Linked DNA regions of Bombyx mori. The protein of the gene in region 3 binds, or shares a complex with, the protein of the main gene of each other region. Links are inferred from orthologs where the notes say so. Each region holds a gene or a part of one and is shown on either strand. Other genes may lie near its edges. The genes, in order: nuclear pore glycoprotein p62, nucleoporin Nup35 and nuclear pore complex protein Nup93.

Region 1 (4,168 bases), on a different chromosome or scaffold from region 3:
AGCAGAAACAGTGTAGTGTTAATGCTTACAACTAGGTAACTACTATATACAGACTGACATTGTCTCCTGGTTTCAACAAATTATTGTAATCAGAAGTTGGATTTAGAATAGTTACCTTTGTACCTTAAACTTAACAACAAAAATAACAGACAAACAAAGGAATTAACTGGAGATGATCTAAAAACGATTTCTTTTTTGGGATTGTAACAAAAACTTACAGTACTAGCTTGCGGTGCTGAGAAACCAGATGTAGGTGTTGAAAAACTAAAGCCAGCTGTCGTTGATGCCGGCTTCCCGAAGCTAAAACCTGTATTTGCACTGGAACCGAATGCTGGGGCAGCAGCTAAAACAACATGTTCATACATTTCCTTTTCTTAAAATTTCTGTTCACTTTATTACTGATGCAAGCAAGACGTACTGGTGAAGTAATTATAAATTTCGTTTGTAAGGAACAATGACTTAAAACTTTTCTGAACTTTAAGTCCAATTTTCATAATAGCAAAAGCTGAGCGCTAGTGCATTTACAAAAGCAATATTATTATCCTTTTTTTTAATTTTAAATTTATAATTATCCATGTCATCTGCCATGTCAAAATAATTATATTTGTCAATCCAGGTCTTAAGCTGTGTTACCATTATAATCGTCATTTTAGTATAATATCATTTATATATTCATTATAATAATAAATTTATAATATTATTATATTTATAACCAACCTTGTGTGGCAGGTGTACCGAATGCCGGTGGTGCTGTGGTGGTTGCACCAAACGACAGATTCTGGGCCTGTCCTGCATTCTGTGAAATATTCACTAGCATTACAAGGCATTAACACATGCAAAGGAGCACAGTGAACGACATATAAGAGTTATGTAGAATGTAAGCATTCTCGAACTAAGAAAGAAAAGATAAGTAGAATGTAAGCATTCTCAAACTAAGAAAGAAAAGATATCATTTTTTTCACAACAATTTAACAATGGCAGAACATTGTTTTTTTTTTTTTTTATGTCTTAGATGGGTGGAAGAGCTCACAGCCCACCTGGTGTTAAGTGGTTACTGGAGCCCATGGACATCTACAACGTAAATGCGCCACCCACCATGAGATATAAGTTCTAAGATCTCAGTATAGTTACAACGGCTGCCCCACCCTTCAAACCGAAACGCATTACTGCTTCACGGCAGAAATAGGTAGGGCGGTGGTACCTATTCGCGCGGACTCACAAGAGGTCCTACCACCAGTAAAATTTACAAATATAACTGATTTTTTTTCCACTTAATTTGGTGAAATGCAAAATACAGTATTGATCGATAAACGCAGCTGGAGACATCACACCAAACTGACGAATAGTTTGTTTAACAGGCTCCCAACAAAATTACTGTACACACCTGATTTGTTGCTTGCCCAAAGGCAGAACTGCCAACTGTCTGATTAGGAGGTGAAGTGAAACCTCCAAAGGGTGTTGGCTTATTCGCTCCAAAGCCTGCAGTTGTAGTCGTTGTCGATGGAGATGAAACTGCCATACAATACATAAGTGTGAGAGGCATTTGTTATGAGTAGAATGTTTTTCGTAATGTTTGATGTAAGCCTCTTTTTGAGCAGGTAGGTTCTCATTGTCTATAAAGAGTAGGGCAGGAAAGGTTCAAGGCTCTTACATTTTGTGATTCAGTAGTGTGGTGATAATTTTGATTAAGCACTATGTTATTTTGTTATTTGTAGGTCAATTCTATTTTAGTGTTAGATTCATTCCTGGAGTTTAATTTAACTTTAACTTGTATGAAAATTGTATTTAGAACATAGGATCTGAGTGTAAATAAATATTTATGAAATATTGATCATTTAAGAACCCCTTTGAGGGATAATTATAATTTTTTAAATAATTTTTCACATGTCAGCTAGGAGTGTTAATAGTTGTTTAAATATCTTTTGCATGTCTTTTGGCTATGGTTTAATTACAACCATACAGTATATTCAGCGTTAAGTAAACAAAGGCCATTACTTACATGGTGAAGGTGCTGCATTTGTTGTTTTAGCACCAAATGCAAAACTGCCAAATACTGGTGCACTTGTTGTGGGACTAGTGAAGCTGAATGTTGCTTTGTTTTCTGAGAGATTAAAAATATTATTTGCATTTTCTATATGCTTTTGGGATTCGATTCATGTTTGGATATCTAATGAGTGTACTTCATCTTTTCTGAAAATATCCATGTCTCTTGGTTTAAGAAACCAGCACCACTGTTAATAAATCTTGATTTATTAACAGTGGTGCCTTAAATTCCCTTAGTCCCTTAAATTTTTACTGTCTATTTTTGTTACTTGTAACAGAAAAATTCAGATTTAAAATATCGCTTGTATTTGTTACCGGAAGTTTTTGTACGCATCGTACCTGTGTTGGATCCACCAAATAACGGCTTTGAAGCGTCACCGCTGCCAAATGAAAATCCTGTAATTACATCCAATTAATTAATTTTTTGATCTTAACGTGAAAAAAGTGTGGTTATATTGTTTACATTGACAATTTAATTATTGTTTAAAAAAACATATATATCGTAGTTCGAATCGTATTGTAGAGTATTTCAATTTATAAAGCTTCAAATTGGAACATGATAATCAAACCAAAAAGAATTTACCTGTTGATGGTGTTGGTGTACCAAAAGTATTAGACGACGTTGTAGTAGTTCCAAAAGAAAAACTCATTTTGTAAACTATAGATAAACTTATGTAAAAGTAAAATAGTTTAAATGATGGAAGTATGTATATTTAGATATTTCAATAAATGTTTAGTAAGCACTACTGTTTGCCGCCGTTAGAAAATTTACCAACAGTAAGATTTATCGAGATATTAATCATTCGTTCAAACTTCAATGTGTCAAAAGTCACTTTTTGTTATGTCCGATCAGACTGGCAAAAGAAACGTAGCCAATTGATTTAAACTGGAATTGAAAACCTTGTGTGAGATCTCAAGCCAGGCAGATTGCAAGCATATTTTTTCCCGTGTTCTCATCGCAACCAATTCTAGAAAATGAGTGTCGGAAAGGAAAAATATATGAAAGATAATCGTGGCAAAAGAAGAAAGATAAGGCATTTAAAAGCTAAAACTATATTCTTATAGTACATAGTATAAAAAATACCTAACAATGTTTAATTACCCCATTTTTTCTCGTCACCTAATATGAATCCTAACGATAAATGTGAAACCGTAAATTATCTTTCCAATCCAACTCTCTATACTCTGTTCAATTCAAATCAATTTACTGTATGTGATTTTTAAAGGCAATCTCTTCCATACCTTTAAATCGCTTTTGATAACATCAGTTGGATGATAACAATAACAATTTTAGATGAAATCATCCATATCTTTTGCCACATCCTGAATTAAGCAAGTTTGTTCCAAAGTCGAGTTTGATGGTGTGTTCCAAAGGAAAGGAAAAAACGAGCCATCGCGGTAAAGCTTGTAGATTTGAAACATTGATATTACTTTGTACAAGTATAGATGTTTATATGGATAGCTTAGAATAGAAAATTGGTGTGGAATATGAAAAATACAATAATAAAATGAGACAGTCGCTTGTGCATGGCGATGCGTTGCCACGTCAGCAATCAAAAAAAGAGCTTAAGTAGCTTAGCATTTTTAAAGTATTTGTATATTTCATATTATTTTTATTTCATAAAACCTAATCCGCTTACATAGTAGTGGGGCCCCATTTTTTTATTTGCCCTGGGGCCCTTGGTTACCTTGTTAGCCACTGTTTATCTCGGCAGGTAGATTCGTGTTTCATGCTCGCATTACTATATCAGAACACTATTTTAATTATTTATATTTATTTTATTAAGCCACTGCTACTATTTTCGCATGAGAGTTATGGAAATGTCTAAATAAGACGTACATAACCACGACCACTCCGCTAGGAGTGTACGACTGAGAAGAAAAGAAAAAACTATCTCAGACGTGGTGTGTGTGGTTTTAAACTTTTTGAATAACAATCCATTGTATACAAGTGCACAAATATGAGGCGTAAAGTTTTCAAAGTAAGTTGACTACCTGCATACCTACCTACTTAATATTTTATCTGCCGTACTTATTCTCGTAGGTTCCATAGTGACCAATGAAGTAGGAAACCTATGGAAATGAAACGTCAACCAAAATTTCGTGCCACTGTGACGTCATCTGG
Region 2 (4,138 bases), on a different chromosome or scaffold from region 3:
ACCTCCCTATTAAACAACTTATGAACAACGTTGTGACTGTTAGCTGGGGTACATTGTGGAGTATCAATAAGAGGTTTATCACATTCATTTTTATTAACAAAATTATAATTCTCAAGCTTTGCAGCCCGAGAATCCATATTCATTTGTTTGACAATTTGACATTTAACTTGACATCTAGCGTAGTTGCTTCGTTTGTTTAGTCCAATTTAATAGGCAAAGAGAGCATATGCGCTGAGGCTTTCATATAATGAGAATATAGGTATCGATAATATAGATACTTTATATAAGCCTGACGGAATCCATATCGCTGGTGAAAAGTTGCATGATACAATTGCATACAACTAATTGATACAAATAACAAGAGATAGTACTTTGTTAGGGTTGAATGGAATGAAAAAACTACTCCGTAAATAAGTATATATATATATTGAGGAGTAAAAGGTTTAAGCGACATTTTGCTTAATATGCGACATTTATTTTTGTAATTAAAGATCCATTTCATTTGGTATTAAATTAGCATCAACAATTCGATGTTTTTAATCGAACTTCAATTATATTTACACCATGCAAATAACAAGTTTTTTCATTTCATTTTTCCAATTTTAAGCTTAAATGGTTCTCCTGCAAAGTTTTAAAAGTGTCGCTTAAACGAAATGGCCTTTCACCCCTCGATACCATGATTTCAATGCACTATAATTTGGAAGAAGCCGGAAATTCACATAAATGTATCTCGTGTCATTTTCTCACACGTATGCACTTTCGTGAATATAAAACTATTGGTAAGACTAATAGGTAGCGTGGCTAGGCCTCGCACAAGGTGGACCGACGACCTCCTGAGGTTCGCGGAAATCCGTCGGATATAAGTAGTGCGGGACCGCTCGCTGGCGAGGCTCGTGTGATGCCTATGCCCAGCAATGGGCTGAAAGAAGAAGAAAAAAAAGAGGATAAAACCAATACTGGTGGTATATAAACGTTACCAAATAGAACCATTCAAAAGATCGTCAGGTTTGAGCCCCGTGAGCTCACCTACTAGTTACGGTTACGCTGGAATAGCCGCTCCAGGCTACCAGCTTAGGTAGGAAAAAAAAAAACATTCAAAGCTTCACTCTCTCCTTTACAGCCAATAAAAAAGCTGGAATAATTTAGAAAATTTAAGTATTGAATACAGATATAATGTACTATTTAGACATATATCATTGAGTTTATGTAATGTATTTGTATGCTATGTAATACTTGTTTTTTTTATTATTTATTATCTATGAGTTTAACGACAATTACAAACTGTCAGTGTCAACTAGAATTTGACTTCTGAGTAAATTAAAAGTAGGAACGTTACGGTTAAAAGAAATTAAACGTGCAAACTTGGTAGCTAAATCATATACATATAAAAGATTTACAAAGATGGAACCAATGACACTTGGTAGTCCTACACATTCGCCCTCAGGGAGCCCTAATGTAGGGTATTTACCGCCTTTTCTGCTGGGTGAAATAAATCCGCCAACAACACCTAGAACAAATAGTTTGTCCCCAACTAAAGGACGAAATCTAGCATTTGGTATGTATAATAAGATACCGGGAACAGCACGCATTGCAAATACCGTTTTAAGCATGTAGCTTTAGGGTAAAATTCTGAATAACCTATTCAAGTGACTTTACCGATCAATCTGAGCTTCAAGCGTAGTCTAACTCCTAAAACTTTTTATTCATTTATGGGCATGTAATTGCTAGAAAATTAATACTTAAACATAAGTAATGTCAATGGTAATCTTTTTTGCAGGTTCACCTACCAGTCCTAGTAAAACATCAACACCAGATCAAAAAATATACCGTCAGAACATCTCTATGCACCAGCAAGCGCTGTATAACCAACAAAGCACATATACTAATATTCCGACTTCACCCAACATATCTTACTCGACTAAGCCGAATGGTCCACCCATTGAAGACTTATTCGACACAATAAAAAGCAATGAGCCGTCTGTAAATAAATCATTGTATAATGATCACAGTTTTCTTGGCTATGGAAATAATATGATGTTACAAAATTCCTATGGAAATAACATCGATCTGTCTGTTAACAATCAATCTTTATCCCAATGGCAGGATATTTGTCAAGAACAAGATGAATACTGGGTGACTGTGTTTGGGTTTCCACCTAATGCTGCTAATACAGTATTGGCAAGATTCAGCAACTGTGGTGCTATTCTGGGTTAGAATGTTATTAACTCTTACTCTTATTATATAAAAAAGATTAGCTCATGTCAATCATCATTGTCTTCTTTCATTAGAAATGCTGATTAAACTAACTAAAACTATTTAAATTAAGTAATCTGAATTTTCTAATACTTACATACATTTCAGTATTAATTTGCATATATTGCTAAATAATTACTCAAATAATTGTTATGATGATCAAATCTCTTTTTATTATTGTGATTTATTCTTTTCCACAAAACTATAATTTTTTACAATTTATATCAATAGACAAGCAGTATCCTACACAAGGCAACTGGGCCCACATTAGGTATGCGACAAGAGCAGAGAAAGAGAGAGCCATGGCTTTAAGTGGAAGGCAAGTCTTGCCAGGGGTAATGGTTGGAGTAATTGAGTGCAAGGAACCACCCCGAATATCTTTTACTAGTCCTGGAATTATGTCACCCGAAAGGTACAATATCTACAGTTTAAATATGTTTAAAATAATCAAATATTACTATTAGGGTTAAATTGGTCATTTGTGCGTTTCTGTGTATTTTATTTATACGATACCAATATTAAGTACCTCCAAATTATCTGGAAGTTGCTGAACTATTCTTGTGTATAATGCTCAATGCGAAAAAAGGATATTAGAACATTTTTAATCTATTATTTCATTTGTTATTAAATTTCTGACTTGTGATTGAGAGCAGCTATTATTATCTTTCGTTTTTATTTGCAGGCAAACTACTGGAGCCCGATCCCTATGTCCAACACCAATACCCTCAGCACCAGTCCCTCAGAAGTCTAGTGGTCTCATTTCCAAAGCATTAGACTATGTGCTGGGATGGTGACAAATACTTTATCTAAAACTTTATTGAAATAACTTAAAGGGATACCACAAATACATTTACATTAATTTTGTAAAAGTTTGATGTCTCTGTGGCCTATAAAATGACCACTGTTCACATCATGCGAATGTTGTTTAATCACAAAATAGATACTAATTTTCACAATTTTAATGAATGGGGTGAGGATGACAGTTTTACCTGATAACGTCTGGACTTCGGGAAAAAGAGATATTTCATCATCAAATACTGAATAGTTTTGATTTTATGATTTGATGTCTGTGGCCTGGTAGAATAGAAAGAAAAAAAACGCGGTCTGTAGGTTTGGACAAGGTCAGTAACCTGTATTCTAAAAAACTTATTTAAATGTCATTCCATACTATTTATATAGAAATAAGATATTACCTACTATTTTAACTCTTCCAGCCCTACTGATCTGAATTTTGAGGACATTAATCTCAATGTAATATTTTTGTTTAATAATATAAAATTAATATTATTCACAAAATTATGTTTACAATTTAATGTTTATTACATAATCACCTGTGAAGGCCGTGTTTTCGTTTAAGGTAATACTGTCATCCCTATCTTCTATATAAAAAATTGTATTAGCAACATTGTAGTAATAAATAGATCATAAAAAAAAAAAAAAAGTAGGTATATATCGAATTTAGTGGTTGAGCAGGTTCTTAGCCTGTAAGGACCGATACTACTGTCCTATATATTTCTGCTGAAGTAGCTCTGCTAATGTAATTGAGCCTAATCTCATCTCTCGAGGGAAACGGTGTATTCAGGTTGGGACGCTAATGCTTTCCGGTGACCTTTATACCTGTAGAAATTAGCTACTTCACATATAATTGAGAAAGATCTAGCAAATATTTATCTAAAGGATATTTCGTTTAAAAAAATTATCAAAATAGAAACTTAACGAATTTAAGAATTTTATTAAACATTTACAACATTTACCAGCAAGAGCTGCGCCATTTGAATGTATTAAAACAATATGTCAGAAAATAAATCGCATGTAACCTATAATATTAAACGACCTATTTTTTTTATGTGTAACATTTTAACTCTCTGAAATGAGCACTTGGTGA
Region 3 (4,112 bases):
TATAAAAAAAATGTATCAAACATTTGTTAAGCTTTGTATAGCCATATTAAATATTGTGACAGGTTTAAGGAGCATATTTCTCATATCCCAAAACCAAAGTCATTTGTGTTCAATTATGAGCTAACAACAAAAGGACATTGTTTTTATTATATTATAGACAGCATGCTACTCATATGCTACCATTTTCAATCTTATCAATAATATAAAAGTATTGCTAACAAGCACCAATATTTATTAAGCCAGTGGATTATAACTGTGGGGCAACAAAATAATGCTAGATATTAAGAATGCCAAACAGAAGATGTCCACCACAAAGCATAAATATTAGTTCAAGTAATTCAACCCACTACCTACAAAGTTGCTCGACTTGAGTTACACCAAATGCCTCAAGTGCAATGATATAAATAAGCTTGGATGCCCTAGTATAAGGTATAAGGTGATGGTTTTGTGGAGGAGCTATCAATCCTGCTATACAGACTAAAATCTAATCTACTTATATTCTCTTACTGATCCGAAATATGAGCTGACAAATAAGAACACCTGAAAGACAACATATCCAATGCTATGTTTTCCCACAGTCAAGTAATTTTCCAGAAAATTGTAATCAGATATTAATATAAACGTACGGTTCGTAATTTATAAACAAAAAAATACAGAGAGAGATATAGAGATAAATTATTATATTTAGATGGTACATAAAAATAAAAGTAAACCTTTTCTGTAAGTATTTCTTTCCTTGTGCGACAAGACACTGTTGTATTGCTGGATTGCCTCTTGCTTTCAGTGGATCTTCATCTCTCACCAGGGCTGGGATATTGGCCATCGTATTTATTATATCCCACATCTCCTTTACTTTCTGAAAAGAAAAACAATGTCATTTACTTTATTGTTACTTTTTGGTATGGTATTTTACATATACAAATCTGACCACAAGGTCTTCATTGTATTCAGTGTATTCTAACAACTAGGCCATTTTACAGTAGCAAATATAGTATATTTGTACACTTCCTTGATTTAAACAGTTTACTTACAGGGTCATTGAAGTCCTCAGCTACCTGAGCAAATTTCTGATGCAAAGCTGTTCTTGATTTAGCACCTTGGAATACATATTTATTATACTGATGAACCTGTCTGGCATATGCTGCTTCAACATTATCCAACATTGAATGTCCAAATTTTTTAGGAGCATCAGCAATACTAGGAGGTTCAGGAGTGCGTTTCAAGTCTAGCCAGTTTTGTGAGGGACCAATCATTGCATTCATGAGTTTGATCTTTTCTTTATTCCATTCTGAGAGCATGTGTTCCCATTTTTGATCCTCTGTTGTTTGCAGGGACTGAAATAATTTTGAATTGGATATTCAATAATCAATTTATTAACTTTGATTAATTGATTACTTGTGTAAATTTCTCTTAACAGTAGTTTGTTTTTGTAAAGTACTCTTAATTTTTCATAAGACGTTAGTAGTAACTGAAACTTAATGGACACAATAATAATAATTAAGCTTTAATGAAAAAATGTAATAAAAATTCAGCATCATATAAACATAGTAACTAAAGCAACCAGACTTCACTGTTTAACATTGTATTGCCAAAGTACTTTCAAAGATTGTGGTCATAAAAACCAATTGAATTCATTTGCATTATAGTATCAATAAAAATTGTACATATAATATTACTCAACAATATATTATATCTTAATAATTGTATTGGTTGTATCTTAATAAATTTTCTTTTCATTTACACCAACTGTGACTGTTTTCTTATCACAGAGGCCAATTATTCTTATTTAGAATGTAGCCATGGTCCATAAATTCTTAAATCAAATCTGTAAACTTTAACATACTTAGTATCAATACTTACATTTTTGTTGACTTCATCAATAAGGGATAATATAGCATTTTCTTTTTCATTCTTCAAAAAACTTTCAATATCTGAATCAGCTATTGGCTGGAGGGGCTCAAAAGTACGCTTTGAACTAAGTGTCTCCAATTTTTGTGAGATTTGGTTTAGATCAATTCCTTTAGAGCCAAACAATAAGTGCCTAAAAGTAAATTTTAACTTGAAAATAGCTTTTTGGTTTAATATAGATTTGTCATGCTGTACTTAATTACTGTGTTAAATTGATTAAGGTGTTCTGTATAAATTAAACTTACAAATGTTAGTTTACATACTAATTATATTGCAATAATTTATCTCAGAAAATCTTAATAATAATAATATTGTCAGACTATTATTGATATCGATAGTTCTATGTCTATACAAATCCAACTTTCCCATACCACTGTCATATGACATACCAGATCTACCACTTCGAAGGTTTTCGGGGTTTTCCTCGATTTAACGGCTAGTAAAAAACTGTATATCAACTAAAACTATTATAATACTGCAAATACATACTATGCCGACTGATTGTATGGGACTAGAAACATTATTAACTTCATAACGGATTAAATTTAAAAAAAATGATTCGGTCTCACTTTACATCATTTATTTTTATCATTACCCGTAACACATTGAATTTAATACTTACGCTTGAATATCGTTAGCGCCAGATTGTATTACTCTCGAGTAAAGTTCCTGGGAGGCCTCGAGAACTTGCCCTAAAGAACGTTCAACTCTCGGCAATTCTTCATTACCTTCTATCTCAGTCGTTAACTGTTCTGCTTGTTGAAGTAGTTTACTAAATCCTTCATCTCCCATTTTAGAGTATTCGCGTTTTGAATGAAAAACAATTTAATTTGAATTTAATTATTATTTGTAATAGTTTGGTTTTTATTTGTTTTTTTCGTTTTAGGTTAGTATTTCATAAGGATGCTCAATCTGAATCGATATACTAATACTCTTCGATTCTTATAATCGATTACCTCAAAAACCAAATCAGAATAGATGTGTCACGTTCTCACAATGTTATTAAACAATACTAAATGACTGGTTTTATAATGACCAATTAATAAAACTGTAATTTTTGTTACGATCATAAGGTGGCAGCACTAACACTTTATATTTTATATGACAATAAAATGTAGTATTACATAAAAAAAAAATCCTACTTAAGCTGATAGCCTTGAGAGGCTATTTCAGCTTCGCTCTAACGTTTGTAGGTGAGCTCACGGGGCTCAAACCTGACGACGATGCTAACACGAACCCTAGCAAGAGCCGTGCTTCGCAGAATCTACCACCGGATCGGAAACGCGACCCACTGAGAAGATCCGGCGAGAAACTCAGTGGGCTGTGTCTAAGAGTTAATTTACTCGTCGAGCCCTTCGTCGCAAGCGACGGGTTCGACGAGAACGGTGACCGGCGCTTGAAGTACCTAAAAGCACCGTTAGTGGATCTGGAGGATCCGAGATGACGTGTACATTTCATTAATATCGTTGAATACCGCTAAAATACTTAGATCGAATTACAATTCTAGGGTCGGCAGACTAAAGCACATAAGTCAAAATTTTCAGTTTATTTTTTATTACATCATCGGTTTACATTTTGCTCAACACACAATCTGACTAAAGCACATAAATCAAACTCAAGTATTTCATGGTGTATTCAAGCGGCGTTCTGTATCAACCTTATCAAATCCTAATATAGTCAAACGAACTAAAAAACATAACTGGACTTATGTTCTAAGGAACACCATAAGTACAAAGTTATTAACGTAAGAAGTCTGACTTATGTTATAAAGAACATCAAAATGTAACATTTCTTTAGAGAAAGTAGTTACTTAAAAATATTTATAACGTAAACAATACTTCGGTAAGTGGTTTTAATTTACTAATGTTGTCGATTGTGCACAGTTTGTTGGTTAGTTGTGTTAGTTAGTTGTGTGTGAGTGCTTAAATATTTTAATTATTTAAGATGAATATTCAAAGATGCAAGAAATTAGTTGAAATGGCGTTATCCACTCATCTGGAAAGCAATGAAGGTATATTTTCACATATCTTCAAAATTATGATTTGCAAATTACGTAATTATATCAATATTATATCATTATAAATAGATGATTGTCTTGTCCTTTTTTAGAAAATGTAAATCAACAGTCGATTTTGAACACAGAGAACCTAGTGGTAGACGATCCTATACCGTCGACATCATCAGGTCAAGTCAGTAGTTTAACA

The links.
Region 1: nuclear pore complex protein Nup93 (region 3) and nuclear pore glycoprotein p62 share a complex: the UniProt entries of both Homo sapiens proteins name them as parts of the p62 complex. The link is inferred for Bombyx mori from reciprocal best matches to the Homo sapiens genes NUP93 and NUP62.
Region 2: the proteins of nuclear pore complex protein Nup93 (region 3) and nucleoporin Nup35 are in contact, whole or in part, in a crystal structure (PDB 7MW1), measured with the Homo sapiens proteins. The link is inferred for Bombyx mori from reciprocal best matches to the Homo sapiens genes NUP93 and NUP35. Residues at the interface, in NP_055484.3 of Homo sapiens: Tyr266, Tyr269, Asn402, Ala407, Asp408, Lys409, Thr410, Glu411, Tyr413, Tyr448, His452, Phe453, Val455, Asn456, Leu461; in NP_612142.2 of Homo sapiens: Ala88, Pro89, Pro90, Val91, Arg92, Ser93, Ile94, Tyr95.

Annotation. Positions count from the first base shown.
Region 1 is NC_085134.1:6,717,924-6,722,091, reverse strand, and holds the start of nuclear pore glycoprotein p62, read right to left. Parts: upstream 2,871-4,168; 5' UTR 2,694-2,870; coding exon 2,627-2,693; intron 2,440-2,626; coding exon 2,383-2,439; intron 2,102-2,382; coding exon 2,000-2,101; intron 1,513-1,999; coding exon 1,385-1,512; intron 797-1,384; coding exon 718-796; intron 344-717; coding exon 219-343; intron 1-218. UniProt on the Homo sapiens protein: Essential component of the nuclear pore complex. The N-terminal is probably involved in nucleocytoplasmic transport.
Region 2 is NC_085128.1:2,336,209-2,340,346, forward strand, and holds the start of nucleoporin Nup35, read left to right. Parts: upstream 1-1,273; 5' UTR 1,274-1,401; coding exon 1,402-1,555; intron 1,556-1,777; coding exon 1,778-2,209; intron 2,210-2,484; coding exon 2,485-2,665; intron 2,666-2,935; coding exon 2,936-3,047; 3' UTR 3,048-4,138. Other genes in the region: uncharacterized protein LOC105841428, read right to left, coding at 3-143. UniProt on the Homo sapiens protein: Functions as a component of the nuclear pore complex (NPC).
Region 3 is NC_085110.1:14,002,441-14,006,552, forward strand, and holds the start of nuclear pore complex protein Nup93, read right to left. Parts: upstream 2,929-4,112; 5' UTR 2,701-2,928; coding exon 2,531-2,700; intron 2,042-2,530; coding exon 1,861-2,041; intron 1,335-1,860; coding exon 1,032-1,334; intron 857-1,031; coding exon 714-856; intron 1-713. UniProt on the Homo sapiens protein: Plays a role in the nuclear pore complex (NPC) assembly and/or maintenance. May anchor nucleoporins, but not NUP153 and TPR, to the NPC. During renal development, regulates podocyte migration and proliferation through SMAD4 signaling.